Neurospora crassa OR74A: one gene and its partners. The protein of the gene in region 4 interacts with the protein of the main gene of each other region in a pairwise test. Links are inferred from orthologs where the notes say so. Each region holds a gene or a part of one and is shown on either strand. Other genes may lie near its edges. The genes, in order: NCU09572, NCU04724, eat-2 and NCU07438.

The links.
Region 1: the proteins of NCU07438 (region 4) and NCU09572 interact in binary tests that used the Saccharomyces cerevisiae proteins (3 or more experiments, as listed by UniProt). The link is inferred for Neurospora crassa OR74A from reciprocal best matches to the Saccharomyces cerevisiae genes LAS17 and ARC18.
Region 2: the proteins of NCU07438 (region 4) and NCU04724 interact in binary tests that used the Saccharomyces cerevisiae proteins (3 or more experiments, as listed by UniProt). The link is inferred for Neurospora crassa OR74A from reciprocal best matches to the Saccharomyces cerevisiae genes LAS17 and LSB5.
Region 3: the proteins of NCU07438 (region 4) and eat-2 interact in binary tests that used the Saccharomyces cerevisiae proteins (3 or more experiments, as listed by UniProt). The link is inferred for Neurospora crassa OR74A from reciprocal best matches to the Saccharomyces cerevisiae genes LAS17 and SLA2.

The regions. Positions count from the first base shown.
Region 1 is NC_026507.1:963,129-966,548, forward strand, and holds NCU09572 (ARP2/3 complex 21 kDa subunit), read left to right. Parts: upstream 1-1,385; 5' UTR 1,386-1,639; coding exon 1,640-1,645; intron 1,646-1,886; coding exon 1,887-2,279; intron 2,280-2,404; coding exon 2,405-2,584; 3' UTR 2,585-2,919; downstream 2,920-3,420. Other genes in the region: NCU09571 (tRNA (adenine-N(1)-)-methyltransferase non-catalytic subunit trm6), read right to left, coding at 3,185-3,420. UniProt on the Saccharomyces cerevisiae protein: Functions as a component of the Arp2/3 complex which is involved in regulation of actin polymerization and together with an activating nucleation-promoting factor (NPF) mediates the formation of branched actin networks.
Region 2 is NC_026506.1:550,021-554,059, forward strand, and holds NCU04724 (VHS domain-containing protein), read left to right. Parts: upstream 1-1,155; 5' UTR 1,156-1,823; coding exon 1,824-1,838; intron 1,839-1,900; coding exon 1,901-2,293; intron 2,294-2,351; coding exon 2,352-2,804; intron 2,805-2,856; coding exon 2,857-3,013; intron 3,014-3,066; coding exon 3,067-3,383; 3' UTR 3,384-3,739; downstream 3,740-4,039. Other genes in the region: NCU04723 (hypothetical protein), read right to left, coding at 1-426, 487-524; NCU04725 (N-acetylglucosamine-6-phosphate deacetylase), read right to left, coding at 3,850-4,039. UniProt on the Saccharomyces cerevisiae protein: Essential for the organization of the actin cytoskeleton, fluid phase endocytosis and vesicle trafficking, together with YSC84.
Region 3 is NC_026501.1:1,867,990-1,870,106, reverse strand, and holds the end of eat-2 (cytoskeleton assembly control protein Sla2), read left to right. Parts: coding exon 1-815; intron 816-917; coding exon 918-1,010; 3' UTR 1,011-1,555; downstream 1,556-2,117. UniProt on the Saccharomyces cerevisiae protein: Required for cellular morphogenesis and polarization of the cortical cytoskeleton. It might act in concert with proteins such as CDC42 and CDC43 to limit the region of cortical patch formation to the cortex of the bud.
Region 4 is NC_026501.1:624,868-629,224, forward strand, and holds the start of NCU07438 (WASP-like protein las17p), read left to right. Parts: upstream 1-1,484; 5' UTR 1,485-1,706; intron 1,707-1,885; 5' UTR 1,886-2,285; coding exon 2,286-2,495; intron 2,496-2,551; coding exon 2,552-4,220; intron 4,221-4,297; coding exon 4,298-4,329; 3' UTR 4,330-4,357. Other genes in the region: NCU07439 (hypothetical protein), read left to right, coding at 505-576, 659-820.

The DNA of each region.
Region 1 (3,420 bases), on a different chromosome or scaffold from region 4:
CTGTTGATCCAAGTCAGCCCCACGCACAAAACACAGGTGAAATCACACCAAATTCGCAGCGCCGGTAAAACATGCAAGCAACTCACCTGAAAACGAATGGTGCTTGGAATGATGTTTTGTTTTGGTTTGAGGAATGGAGAAAAGCGATCCAAAACAAGTCGCGCTGGTAACGACTGAGTCACCGTAAAGAGGGGGGAAAAAGCACTAGGATCAAAGTTTGCCTCCTAGTTCAAAAAAGTGGGAGGGGTTTGTCCGGGTTCTTGTGTTTGTCTTTGGGCGTGAAGAAGCGGAGGGCTGGTTTTAATGAACGATTGAAGAAGGCAGTTGTAGGTAGAGGAGAGAACCGTGACGCAGTGAGTGATGTGATGGGACTGGAGAACCCCAAATACCCCTCCATCACCCTTTCTCAGTGGACGGCGCACGACGGCGCTTTTGATTCCGCGTTGGTGCGTACACTACTATCACAGTACCTCTAAGCAGCGTAGTAGCGCTCTCGACTGGTGGTGTGCCTGTCGGGTGTGTGGCAGTCCCCGGCCGGATTTGCGTCGGATGAACAATTGCGCCAACAACAGCCAGCCAAGTCTGGACTGCTGGCTGATTTCATCATCTACGACGCGCTAGCACACGAGCTCCCGTGACTTATTGTCTTGGCATCCCCTCTTGTTTCTTCAATGTTTCTGCTTTCTGAGTCTTCTCCTCTCTCCTTGACGACGGGCCCCCCTGTTGTTCAAACAGGCAGCGGTGGGCGCAGCGCGGCGTTCACGGTGTTGAACTTCGTCCTATCCAACCAACATTCAGGTGTTGGCTCTCTTCCAGGTTGTTGGACTCGACCACGGCGTGAACCTCGGTCAATCTTCTTCCTTGAAAAATTCCGCCATAATGAGTAATGATGGGATGGATCCTTGGAACACCATCTTGAGCATGGAGTCCTGCTCTTTGTCTGGATTCCGAGACACAGCAGCTTAAGTTGCATGGAAAGCGGGCGCTCACGTCGAACGCGGTGGCTGACTACATGACACGTGAAGAGTCTTTGTGTAACTGAATCTTCCTCTGTATACCAATGGAGTGGCATTTTGACTTGTTCACATTCGCTCTCCTCCTTCAGATGATGCATTGTGCAAGACCTTCCGATTCCCCCGGGACTAGGTGGCTCCACTTCAGGCCGCAAAGATCCACTTTATCGGAGTCAAGCGAGCTGCTGCCTGTCCGATGACGAGGCCGGCTCCGGTAACTCTACACGTGATGGGAACCGGGAGTGCTTCATTGACTGTACCAGGCCTCATCCGGAGTCCGGACACAGCCACTGCTGAGCCACAAATTCAAATAGAAAGGTAACGCACAGACCAAGTCCAGCTCTACTGTCACAGAGTCCGTCACAGCGGCACGGTGCAAGCAGCGGTCGTCACCGCCAGCTCGACGTCAGCGCAGGAGAAGCCGCCATCGCCCATCGCTGGCACGCTGCAGGTCCAGGAAGGCCAGCCCAAGTCCAATTGACCCCATCACCCCGCAAGGCTGCGCCATAGAACCCGGACGCGGTCAAGTCAACACGACATCCCAGATTTACCTAACTTCCAACTTGAACACCATTTGCTTAATCTGGTAATAGCTTCATAGAGGGAGCTTGACACCAACCGTCACAATGCCGGTAAGCGCACCCATTCGCAAGCTCCCAACACCCAGCCGCTATGCGTATAGCTTCCCCAAGCTATACCAGCCAGCCAGCCAGCTACCCCTTAATCGTCAGACAAAGCTTCGTCCATGATCGCATCACCACCACCCACAACACCACGAACCGCTTTGCGCCCAATCGCATTTCTTCGCCTCTCGCCTCACCTCACACACAAATTCCCATTCTCAATCTCTCAACTAACGACGCCACTCTCTAGGCCTACAACTCCGTCTTCAACGCCGACCCCTCCCCCCGCCTAATCGGCAACTTCCCTCTCTTCCCGCTTCGCACCAAGATCCGCGGGCCGATCTACCCTCTCCCCTTCCCGGACCCTCCGCTCGCCGCCAACGAGTCGCCCGACCCGGACTCGGAGTCATACGACATTCTGGACGAGACGCTAGCTCTCTTCCGCGCCAACACCTTTTTCCGCAACTTTGAGATCCAGGGCCCCGCCGACCGCCTGCTGGTCTACGGCATCTGGTACATCAGCGACTGTCTGGGCCGCATCAAGCCGCACTATGGCGTTAGGGAGGCGACGAAGGAAGTGAACAATGCGGCGCTGGATGTGAACTTTGCGTTGCCGGGCGATCCTGGGTGGCCTTTGAATCAGGTGAGTTTTTTTGGCGTAAAGGATTTAGGGCGGAGATAGAATACGGTGAATGTGATGGGAGTAGATGTGGCCCGCGGCGGTGAACAAGAAAATGGATGGCAGCTAATAAGTTTGACGCAAAACAGATGTATGAACCCCCCCGCGACCGTCAAGACGCAGAAGTCCTCCGTCAGTACCTGTCGCAGGTCCGGCAGGAACTGGCGCAGAGGTTATTGGCGCGCGTGTACGACGACGAGACCGAGGACAAGCCGAGCAAGTGGTGGTTGAGCTTTACCAAGAGGAAGTTCATGGGCAAGGGACTCTGATGCGATGCCTTCCCTGTTCAGATGGCGTTGCATGGAATCGTTTAGCGCCAAAGTATAATACGTACTCTACACAAATAATATTTCAAGTTTCCTAGAGTGTGAGGGTGTGTTGGGGCGAGCGAGCAAGACTTTCAGTTGTTGTTGTTTTTGCGTGGTCCGGTTCGATCAGGCATAGATCGAGTACACATACACTTGAAACCCGATCATGAGCGACATGGGTTATATCTCCAGTTGACGTTCGATTAGTAGAATTACTGCAGCTCTATTTCGTGCAAATGGTATCTAAGAGCAAACGAGATCTATGCATATCGGTCATGCTGGTTCTCCTAACTGCTACCACTATCAGACTCCTGCTCATTGTTTGCCCGCCTTTCATGGACAAAGCATAATCATTTAAACCCATGGTCGCCTCCACTCCTCCTCGGCTGGTCGAGTCCACCTACTGTAAGCGAGCCTCGAAACGCTCTAACTGTCTTTTCCTTTCTGACTTTCCCTCGACCTCATTGCTTCCGTGGAAACCTCTGTGTGAGATCTTCCGATGCACGGGGAGAGAAGTGGCATCCTTGAACTCCCATAAATAACTCTTTCCGACCAATCCACTCATGCCGAAGCCGGCGTCGAAACGCTCTCCTCCACCTTTCTCCTCTTAAATTTGCCCTTGGCCGCAATCTTGCCCTCCGCTGGCTTCGCTCTCCATCCAGTAAAGATATATCCATCCGCACCACCGCGCTCCGTCATCAACGGATGCGTCCTGCCCGGCAACACCTGCCACCTCCTCGCCCTGCTAGTCTGGATGCTTGTGCCCAGTAACAGCGTGGGGTTGAGAGGGAACTGCT
Region 2 (4,039 bases), on a different chromosome or scaffold from region 4:
CTAAAAAAGGAAGCATCCGTTTCTTCACAGTCTTCTCTGCCAGCCCGTGGGTTATTGGCACAAAGCTCTAAGAGCTCGGATTTGGAGTATGGGGGCGAATAGTAGCCATCCTGGTCGGAGGTCATCGTGTCCACAAGCATATGCTCTTGGGTATCGCCTTCTTCCCATGACGAATATCCAACCGCGACATTGTCGTCGTAATCGTAACCATGATACTCTGAGAAGGTTTCGAAAGATGGGAATACATATCCCCTTCTCTTGCCCTTTGGGCAGTCCCCATCAGTGTTTCGGCGTTTCAGGGAAGCTGAAGTAGCCGGATGGTAAAGCTCCGATGGAAGTGCTCCAGGCCCGTCCACGCCGTTGTTGACCGGTGCGGCATCATTGGCCGGAAGGGTTGTGGTAGTTGAGAAGGAGGACACATCACAACTGATAATAAGAACAAGTTAGCATTGCAGGCCAAAACATGAAGCGGGAGAACGGGCTTACGGAGCAGCGGAAGTTGCCGCACTGGAAGGGTCCATCATATTCAGGACCACACTCGGGTCATCTGTGTCTGTGACTGACTGGTCTTGGAGGGACAATGTCCGATTGGGTACAAAAAATCAAGACTAACGATACTGATGGAAGTATAGGCGCGTCACGGTATTGTCGAGGTCGAAGCCATTGGGATCCGATTGGCCTTTGGAAATTGAGACCGGGTGGTGGGAACCGGAAACTGCCTCTGGTGTTGACACGACTGGACTGAAAAGGACATGATGGTAGGAGAGGCCGGACGAGAGTCGAAGACGGAGGACTTGCGAAGACTGGACAACGAAGTGGAAATGTTTGAAATTTTCTCACTGTCCTTGAAAGCTGGCAAGTGCGAGTCGTCGAGGCGTTGATGCCCGCCTGATGATGATGATGGATGTACTTGTATACCTCTATGTATAAGTCGTACTTTCCTATTCTGGACGTCTTCAGCGGGCCCTTGAGGGCAGCTGGTGGGCGGGCGGGCAGCCGGACGGGAGTGAGCCAGGCAGGGAGGGTGACGGCGCCAAGTAATCTGGCCCCGCTTCGTAGCGAACCGAAGCCCCACCATTCGGCACCGGAGCCGAGATTTGTAGGGAGCTTGAGGCCTGAAAGCTAAACGCCAAGGACCGGCGACCGGGGCATTGTCAAGGAAGCATGGCTCCCTCTTTTTCGCTCCTTTATTGAAGGCGCATTGGGTGAGGTTGCTCACGAAAGAGCAATGTTCTGTTGGTGACGATGCGGTGATTTTGATTTTACTCATTTGTTTGAAGGGTTGTCGAAAGAAACACTGGGCGCGACGGAATCCGGTTTCACGGCGTCACACGAAATTCAAGCTCCCTCGTATCGATACCCCGCCATTGTTCGCTCCTGCGCCCGCCATCAGCCGCCCCTCGTCAAAGCTTCAGTCAGAGCATACACAGCATCACATCACTGCTGCGCAGGCACGACTGCTGCTTGCTGCCGTTTACCTTGACGCGCTTTCCTCGACAGATTGCGCTTCTTCTTAACGACAACGAAGAGCTTCCACCGACACTTTCCATCAATAAGTCGTACTAGGGACTTTTCCTGGTCAGGCCATTGTTAGCGACCGACTGCGATTGCGACTGCGACTGCGACTGCGACTGCGGCCATCTGACGATAACTGAACAACTTACCCAAAGTCGACGCGACTGTTTGGCTTGGCTCCCTTTCTTCAACCATACCATCCACCACCACTGCACAGCTTTCTCGACTTCTATCCCCGAGCTTTATTCTTTGCTATCTTCTACGACGAAGCAACCACGGCAATCAGCTTAGCGCTACTCCACGATACAATGTTCTCTTCCTCGGTAAACGACCAAAGGTTCCCTCAATAGCTGCGTCTCGTACATTCGCTAACAGCCCAGAACAGAAGCCCTACACGGCTGTTACGGTCGACATCGAACGTTTGACGAGTGAGACATTCGCCGAAGACGATCTCAGCGGCATCCCCGAGCTTATCGAAGCTATCAACCTCCAGGCTTCGGGCCCAACCGAGGCTGCCCGTGCCATTCGCAAGAAACTCAAATATGGAAACCTGCACCGCCAGCTCCGAGCCTTGACCATCCTCGATGCCCTGATTCAAAATGGGAATCCCCGCTTCCAGCGCTCCTTTGCGGATGAACCCCTTCTTGAGCGCTTGCGCTTCTGTGGCACCGCCGAGCTGTCGGACCCCTTGGTGAAGAAGAAGTGCTCCGAATTGTTTCGCAACTGGACTGTCTACAACCGCACTCACGGCATGGAGCGCGTCGCGAACCTCTACAGAGTAAGCTCCCTTACAGTCTACACTTTGACGTCTACCTGTCACGCTCACACCACTCCAGGAACTTCCCCGTCGCAAGCAAGTCGTTACCCAAGAAAAGTCCAAGGTACTTAAGGAGACCGAGAACCCTTTTGGCGAAGACGAGGAGGAAGAACGCCAGCCATCAGCAAGCACCTCAACTGCCCAGGCCAACACATCAACCACACACCCATCTTCCTCATCATCGCATAGGCCGACAGTGTCCAGTTCCAGTGGCCATTCTCACTCCTTCAGTCGATCCGGCAAGGACAAGTCAAAGAAGAGCAGCAGCAAATCCAAGAAGCACAAGCCATTTAACCTCGAAGCCGAAAAGGATCAGATGACCAGGACTATCGCCGAGGCGTCCATTGCCTCCACGAACCTGATGAACACTTTGCAATCCATCAATCGAGAGAAGGAGCGCATTTCGGAGAACTCAACTGCAGTGGAGCGTTTCGAAAAGTGCAAAATGCTTAGAAGGAACATCTTGAGATATGTACGTGACAGTGTCTCTTGACCATAGCCGAACGGTCTGCTAACAGACGCAGATTCAACACGTCGAATCTGAACAATGGCTAGGAGGCCTTCTACATGCCAACGATGAACTCGTCCAAGCGCTCATGACTTTTGAGCAGCTGGACCGCTCTATTGACGCGGACAGCGACTCGGATGATGATCTGGCTGAGCAAGCACATCTTTATCGGAGTATGTTCCCCTCTCCTTTTTGTTGTTCTCCCTCCCCTGCTAACAATTTCCAGTGGCAACTGAAAAAGCTGCCAAAGCCAAAGAATCCGGTGGTAGCGTACCCGGCAGTCCCCGCGCCCCCGTTGCGGGCATGGCTGGGCTCAGCATCACCAACACCCCTGCGAGCCCACCACCAATGCCTCCTCGTCCTGCGCCACCTCCCCGACCGTCTGCGGCTTCGAAACCCTCAATGTTGAAGCCGCCTACAAGAAGGGTGGAACCGTCTGATGACGAGGATAGTGAGGTGGATGAGGACGAGAACGATCCGTTTGCTGACCGGAATGCTGTCTCGACCCCTAAGGTGGAGAGTGACGAGCCCAAGTGGTCGTAGGCTGGGTGGACGTGGATAGCATGGCGGGGATGAAGTGATGATAATACGACATGGATACGAATTGAGTTGCTACTTGCTTACTGGATAGCCATTTGCCTGTCTAGGAAATATTTTTAGCGACAGCGAGGGACGATAGTAATAGTACGGAGGAGTAGATCGAGCAGGAAAGCGAAACACTTCGCAGCATTATCCTCAGTTGTTTTACCAAGTTTAGCGGTTCAGGGGAGAGGAATGAGTTATACCTTTTTGAGTTCTGGATGGCCAGTTATGAGTGGAGAGCGAGTGGTGTTTTCTTTTCAAGTCATGCCTTCGTGGACGGGAACCATCATTGCCATTCATCGTGCATAGCCAAATGGCGAGGCAACAGACATTCAGCACTCTACTTTCTGCTCCCTCCCTTGCAAAGAACCAAAGCTACATGACCAAGAAAGCATTCAACATCTATCAAGCCCCAACTCCCTCCCCATTATGATTTCGAACTCACCAAAGCAGTCCCATCCCTAACAAACACCCTCTCCCCAAATTTCCAAACCTCCTCAACAACCAACTGCTTTCTGCTTATCTTCCCGCTTCCATCCAGCAGATCCTCAACCTCAACTTCCACTTCCTCAAAAACCACCAAATCCGCATCCGCCCCGGGCTTCAAACTCCCCTTG
Region 3 (2,117 bases), about 1.2 Mb from region 4:
CTCGTTCATCTGCCCATTCGACAGTCAAGTTCTTCCGTGGTCTGTTGAGCTTCCGCCTTGAGGGCATGGATCCACTTCAGAAGACCGACGTTGTCATCAACAGCAATAACGATGTCCAGATCAACCTGCAAAAGCTGAACAAGCTTGTCGAGACCTTCGCTCCTGGCTTTGGCCAGCTCGCTAACAAGGGTGACCTTGGCGACATCGTCGATCAAGAACTCAGCAGGGCAGCCGATGCCATTGCTGCTGCCGTTGCCCGTTTGCAGAAGCTCAAGAACAAACCTCGCGATGGATATACTACCTACGAACTCAAGGTCCACGACTCAATCCTCGATGCCGCCATGGCCATTACCACCGCTATCGCGCAGCTCATCAAGGCTGCCACCGCTACACAGCAGGAGATTGTGCAAGCTGGTCGTGGCTCGTCTTCGCGCACCGCCTTTTACAAGAAGAACAACAGATGGACCGAGGGTCTTATTTCCGCCGCCAAGGCTGTTGCCAACTCTACCAGCACTCTCATCGAGACTGCTGACGGTGTTCTTTCCAACCGCAACAGCCCTGAGCAGCTCATCGTTGCATCTAATAATGTTGCGGCCTCCACCGCCCAGCTCGTGGCTGCCAGCCGTGTGAAGGCCGGCTTCATGAGCAAGAACCAGGAGAGCCTGGAGGAGGCCAGCAAGGCTGTCGGTGCCGCCTGCCGTGCGCTCGTCAGACAAGTCCAGAGCATGATCAAGGACCGCAGTGCCGAGGATGAGCAAGTGGACTACAGCAAGCTTGGGTCGCACGAGTTCAAGGTGCGCGAGATGGAGCAACAGGTACGTGATTCCTTCGAGATTTCCTTCCTCTTTCATTTCCGGTACCCTTGGTCTTGCCTATTATGGTTCATTGCTGACCAATTCATTCTCTCCCCATCACAGGTCGAAATCCTTCAACTCGAAAACGCATTGAATGCTGCTCGCCACAGACTTGGCGAGATGCGCAAGATTTCGTACCAACAGGATGAGGACTGATTGTCCCGCAACACATGGGGTTGTTGAGGTAGTATACTCGGTGGCTTCATTCATCTCGCTGGCTTTACGCTTCAATGCGCAGCGTGGGCACATGCATCCGACCAGATCCCCTCCCTCATTCTGTTTTCGTCCCGCAGCGTCTTCCAAAATCTTCATCAGATGTTTTATATTTCAACTACCCCCTCTGTACCTAGCTCGAATTCCTTTGGGAGTCATCAGGTGTTAGTGTTAAACTCAGTTTCATCCACCTTGTTCTTTTTCATCCACTGAAGTCGTCAATTGGCCGTCGTAACTTCGGCCTCGGATATGTTCCGTTCGCTCTTCGCGCGGGTGTTTGGTAACACAGGCAAACCGCCACTCCCGCTGTCATACTGCTGGCATCCGTCGTGTTTCTTTTATGGCGATGTACATCCTTTTTTTGTGGTTTCGATTTTCGCGTTCGCTGCTCGCTGCTCGCTCGATCGGTCGGTCTGCCAGAAAGTTTACCAGATACGTCAAGAGTGAGTAGGCGACCAAATTTCGTGCTTTGTGCTGCTGAATATCACCCCTTTTCCGCCTCCTCTTCCCCTTCCCCTGTCACGTCAGTCCTTCAGCCCTCGGCTGTCCAATTTCCCTACGTCTGCTTATACGGCCCATTTCACTCCCTCTCTTCGCTTTTTTGTCGCAGCCCGTTCGTTGTCTCGTCATCGGTGGCTGCTTTCGTTCGTGCAGCAAGATTCAGAACGAGAAAATCTCTGGTGGAGGGAGTTCAAGTTCCGTTTCCTTCCTATCGCCTGGTCCATTATGCTGTTTTCTCTTTTTCTTTTCGTTCCCCACGTCAGCTTGAAAGTCTGGTCTCTGTCTCCCTCTTGACTTGCATTTCCTAGTTCTTCCCATTCTGGCAGGCCAAGCTAAAGTCGAACCATCACACTCTCCTGCTTCCCTCTCCGGTCGGTTGGCGTTCACGTTGTTATGCTATTAAAGTGCTCCTGCGGAGTCGTCGTTGTCGTACCAACCAATAGCTTGGATGACGGGTAATTGGATGTACCAGTGCCAAGTATTGGATCCGCTGGTGTTTGCTGCGGGCAGATGGTTGTGATGTCCATGAGCTGTACAATAAGAAGAGAT
Region 4 (4,357 bases):
TCATGATGGAGAAAAGCTGGGATGATAGTAGCGCCCGGGACGGTATCACGGTATCATGTGTGTTGTATGTATGTACTAATGGCGGTCCCTGAGTGGTTCCCTCCAGTCGGAGTCAAGATCCAATGCTCCGTCTTGTCGGTTTGATGCGCTGTTCGTGGGAGGTTTTAGCAGCTGTCATTCAGTGTGCCTGCCGCCGCATACCTACACTAGTAAACGACGCGTGACCACCCCCAGGCGACGTCATTGTCTTACACCCTCTCTTTTAGGCCCCTTGTACGTGGTACGACGACTACAGGTTTCTTCCTATTTATTCCCTTTTGCTCATCCATCGTTTTCTTTTATAAAAGAGACCCTTCTCGACCTTCAAAACCTTCCACTTCTACACCTTACCCATCTTCCTGCAAGACGATATCGAAAAAGTTGATCAAGACTCCTCTCAGTTGTCTCACTACGACCCACTCCTCACGAACCATCAAGACAAGTCATAACATCAAGACCATCACAATGGCCGGCGGCGACGATCTCAGCAAGAAGGAAGTCAACATTCTTCCCCACGACACCCAGAAGGACGAGCAAGTACGTTACCATTTCCTCCCTAGTCTGGTGCCTTGTGTGAATCACAGAAAACAGAAAACTGACTCTTTGGCCAAACAAATAGAAGAACCCCAACAACCCCCTCAACAAGCTCGCTGATAGTGCCAAGGCCACGTTCGAGCAGGCGTCAAAGGCCATGCCCGGTCCCGCCATCTCGCAGAACATCGGCGGCGAGGAGGGCACCAAGGAGGAGCGCAGGGCCAAGGCCGAGACGCTCAACAAGTAAAGATATGGACTCGGACAAACAGGGGAATGGATGGAATGATTGCAATGACTGAATGATACACACACATACACATAACATAATTGAACTGTTTTGACAATTACTCTGATGGATCAGTCCTGTTGGAGCCTAAAGTGACTTTGGTGGTGGAATTGCGCCCAAATGAGAGGGGTCTGGTCCTCGAAAGTTGTCTCAAATGGGAGCAATGTTAGCATGTGAAGGTAGGTAGGTACTTTCATGTCATCCCATGTTCGTACATACCTACACTACTTTCATCCTATATCAACCTGAGCCATATAACCTCCAAATGCACATGGAAGTTGTTGTCATTGCCAGTTTCAACATGTCCCTCAAACACCCAGCTCTCGGAGGAACCGTCTCGTTGGACATCCATCATCACGGCGGGCAAGCGAAAGGTCGGCTGTGCAAGCGGCGGGCGGGAATAGTGGAGGGGTTCAGTTGAGGGATAGGTACCCACTGTTAGTGGACACGGACAATTGACGCCCTATCCACCCCCGGCACAATGTCATGACGCTATCTGGTTCATGTCCACAAGTTGGTCGCTTCCCGTCGGAAATTGGTCATTGTGGCTTGCTGGGGTTTCGTTGCCATCCTGATTCCATTCAGTCAAAGCCAAACAGCCCGGTCGTTGCCGCCGCCGTAGTGATGCAACTCCCAATCCCCGTACATAGTGTAGTTAAGTAGTGTACACTCACTGCATGCCTAAGGAACCTCTTGCCAGGTACACCCGCAATTCAACTTCCTTCTTGTCTACCTTGCAATGGGACTTGCTCCTCTCTCTGTAGTCTGTACAGCTTTAATACATTGAATTTTCACGGCAGATTATAACTAAGCTTGCCAACTGAAGGCTGCTGGATCATTGTCCGAGGTACGTTATTCCCAGCCTGCCGCCGTCTCTTCTACTCAGTATCTGCTTTTGCTCCTTTCAGTCATTGGACATCCGGGCGGCCGAGTCTTCCTTATTCCTCCCACCAACCACCAAACATCCGTGCCTCCAATACCCAGACCTACCTCTAGCTAACCGGCAACTTCCATTGTCTCTTCTAGGCTTCCGTCAACTGCTTTTATTCCTACGCGGCAAGGCCACGGAAGCGCGGAGCTTTACTTTATCTTGTACCGACAAGATACTTGGCCGTCGATAACAAGCGCCAACGACCCGAAAAGCATTAATACGACATCCCACTTCCGACTTGCTACCTCACCCTTCGGTCGACGTTGCCCCCCTCCCCTCGCCGACCGACCCGCCGACCGGATCAAGGCACGACGACTCAGCTTCATAACAGTACCTCTCGGCGCTGCGCCCGCCGGCCGAGTCCTTCTACCGAATTTCCGCATAACGACTCCCAATCTATCCATGCTTTGCTCCCCCTGGACGATCTAAAGGGGACGACAGGCCGCAACCTACCTCAAGCCACTTCCACGCTTCCACCCCCCATATATATTCACGATGCCGTCCATCCTCAGCGACGACGACAAGGAAACGGTCAAGCGCTGCGTGCCCAAGCAGACCAACAAGATCCACGCCGTCGCCGTCGCCAGGCTCTATGTAGCCTACCCCAACCCGTCCAGATGGACCTATACCGGCCTCCAGGGTGCCGTCGTTCTGGCAAATGATCTCGTGGGCAACACATATTGGATCAAGATGGTTGATATCTCGGTAAGTGTGAAAATGACGATTGCGTGGCTGGCCACCATTTGGCTGACATCGGACAGCCCGGAAACAGGGGAGTGATATGGGACCAGGAGATCTTCGACACTTGGAACTACAACCAGGACCGTGTCTTCTTCCATACCTTCGAGCTTGAGGAATGCCTGGCTGGCTTGTCCTTCGTGGACGAGAAGGAAGCCAAGCAGTTCCTCAAGAAGATGAACGACAGGGAAAAGAACGCCAGCAAGGCTACCAGCAAGACACCTTTCGGAGGCGCATCCCAGGCACACCACCACAAGCACCACGGTCTTTTCGGCGGTCTGTTTGGAGGACATAAGCACGCGTCTCCGACAGCCACCCCGCCCGAGTCGCCACGTGCCGCTGCACCGGCAGGCCGTATGAGAGCTGGAAGCACTAATGGAATAAACGGATACAAGCCTCCTTCCGAGTTTGCGACCCTGGATGCTTTCGATCCCCTGTGGAGGGAACACTTCGGTGACGACCTCAAGGCCCAAGGCCTCGACGACGACTTCATCCGCGAAAACCAGGACTTTATCATTGAGTTCTTGAAACAGGAGCAAGCGAAGCAGGGTATACACACGAGCACTCCTCCGCCGCCGCCGCCGCCGCCATCCGCTCCTCCTAATGGTCCCGCAATGAGAGCTCCCCCACCACCTCCTCCTGCTGCTGCTCCGCGCAGTGTCTCCGAGTCGATAACTCCATCGACCTCTAGGAGAGGGCCAGTACCCCCGCCTCCCCCTCCAGCAAGGAGATCCGGCAAGCTCGACACGGAAAACCACCAGGAACCGGCCCCTCCGCCGAGATTTGCTGTTCCTCCTCCCATCGCCGATGCTGGCAAGTTTGCCCACTCTGATCCCCCGCGACATACGCCCTCTGCGCCTGGACCTCCACCACCTCCCCGGCCGCCGAAGACGCCACTCGAAGATCAGGACCCGAGCCAGAGGTTCAGCGTTCCTCCGCCATTCACAGGCCAACGAAGTGTACCCCCGCCGCCTCCCAGCCGTAGCTCTGTTCCTCCGCCACCGCCCCCGAGAAATTCAGCTGCGCAACCTCCTCTGCCTCCCAAGGCACCGGGACCAGCACCTCCCCTCCCGCCTGCGAGCTCACGGCCGCCCCCCATGTTGCCAACTAGAAGCCCGGCACCACCGCAGGCACCGCCTCTCCCGACCTCGAACGCGCCACCTCCGCCGCCTTTACCGGCCACCCAGGCGCCTCCACCACCTCCCCTTCCCGCAACCAGCGCGCCTCCTCCGCCACCACCGGCACCGCCAGCACCTCCGGCGCCCCCTCTACCCGCAGCACATGCTCCCCCGCCGCCGCCTCCCATGCCACCCATGCCCGCACCATCAGGCGGCGCACCGCCTCCGCCTCCGCCTCCTCCACCGGGTGGTATGGGTGGTGTCCCTCCCCCTCCTCCTCCCCCTCCTCCAGGTGGTATGCCTCCACCGCCCGCCCCTGCCTTGCCACCTGTTGACGGCAGTCGTTCGGCCGTGTTGGACGGCATCAAGACCGCGGGAGGTATCAGGGCGTTGAAGAAGGTAGACAGAAGCCAGATTCGCGATCGTTCCGGTGCTGCTGTTCCTGGTGGCTCCGATAGTGGGCCCGCAAGCAGTGGATTGCCGCCCGCTGGAGCTGCGCCGGGTGGCGGTGGTGGAATGGCGGATGCGTTGGCGTTGGCGTTGCAGAAGAGAAAGGAGAAGGTTAGCAAGAGTGGTAAGTATCTGGATTATCCCTGGCTTGTGAAGTGTGAGAGCATGTCGAGAATGATGCTAACACTGGTGGAAAAACAGATGATGAAGATGATGGTGATGATTGGGACTAAGTGCCCGATACCAACAATGACACGGTGA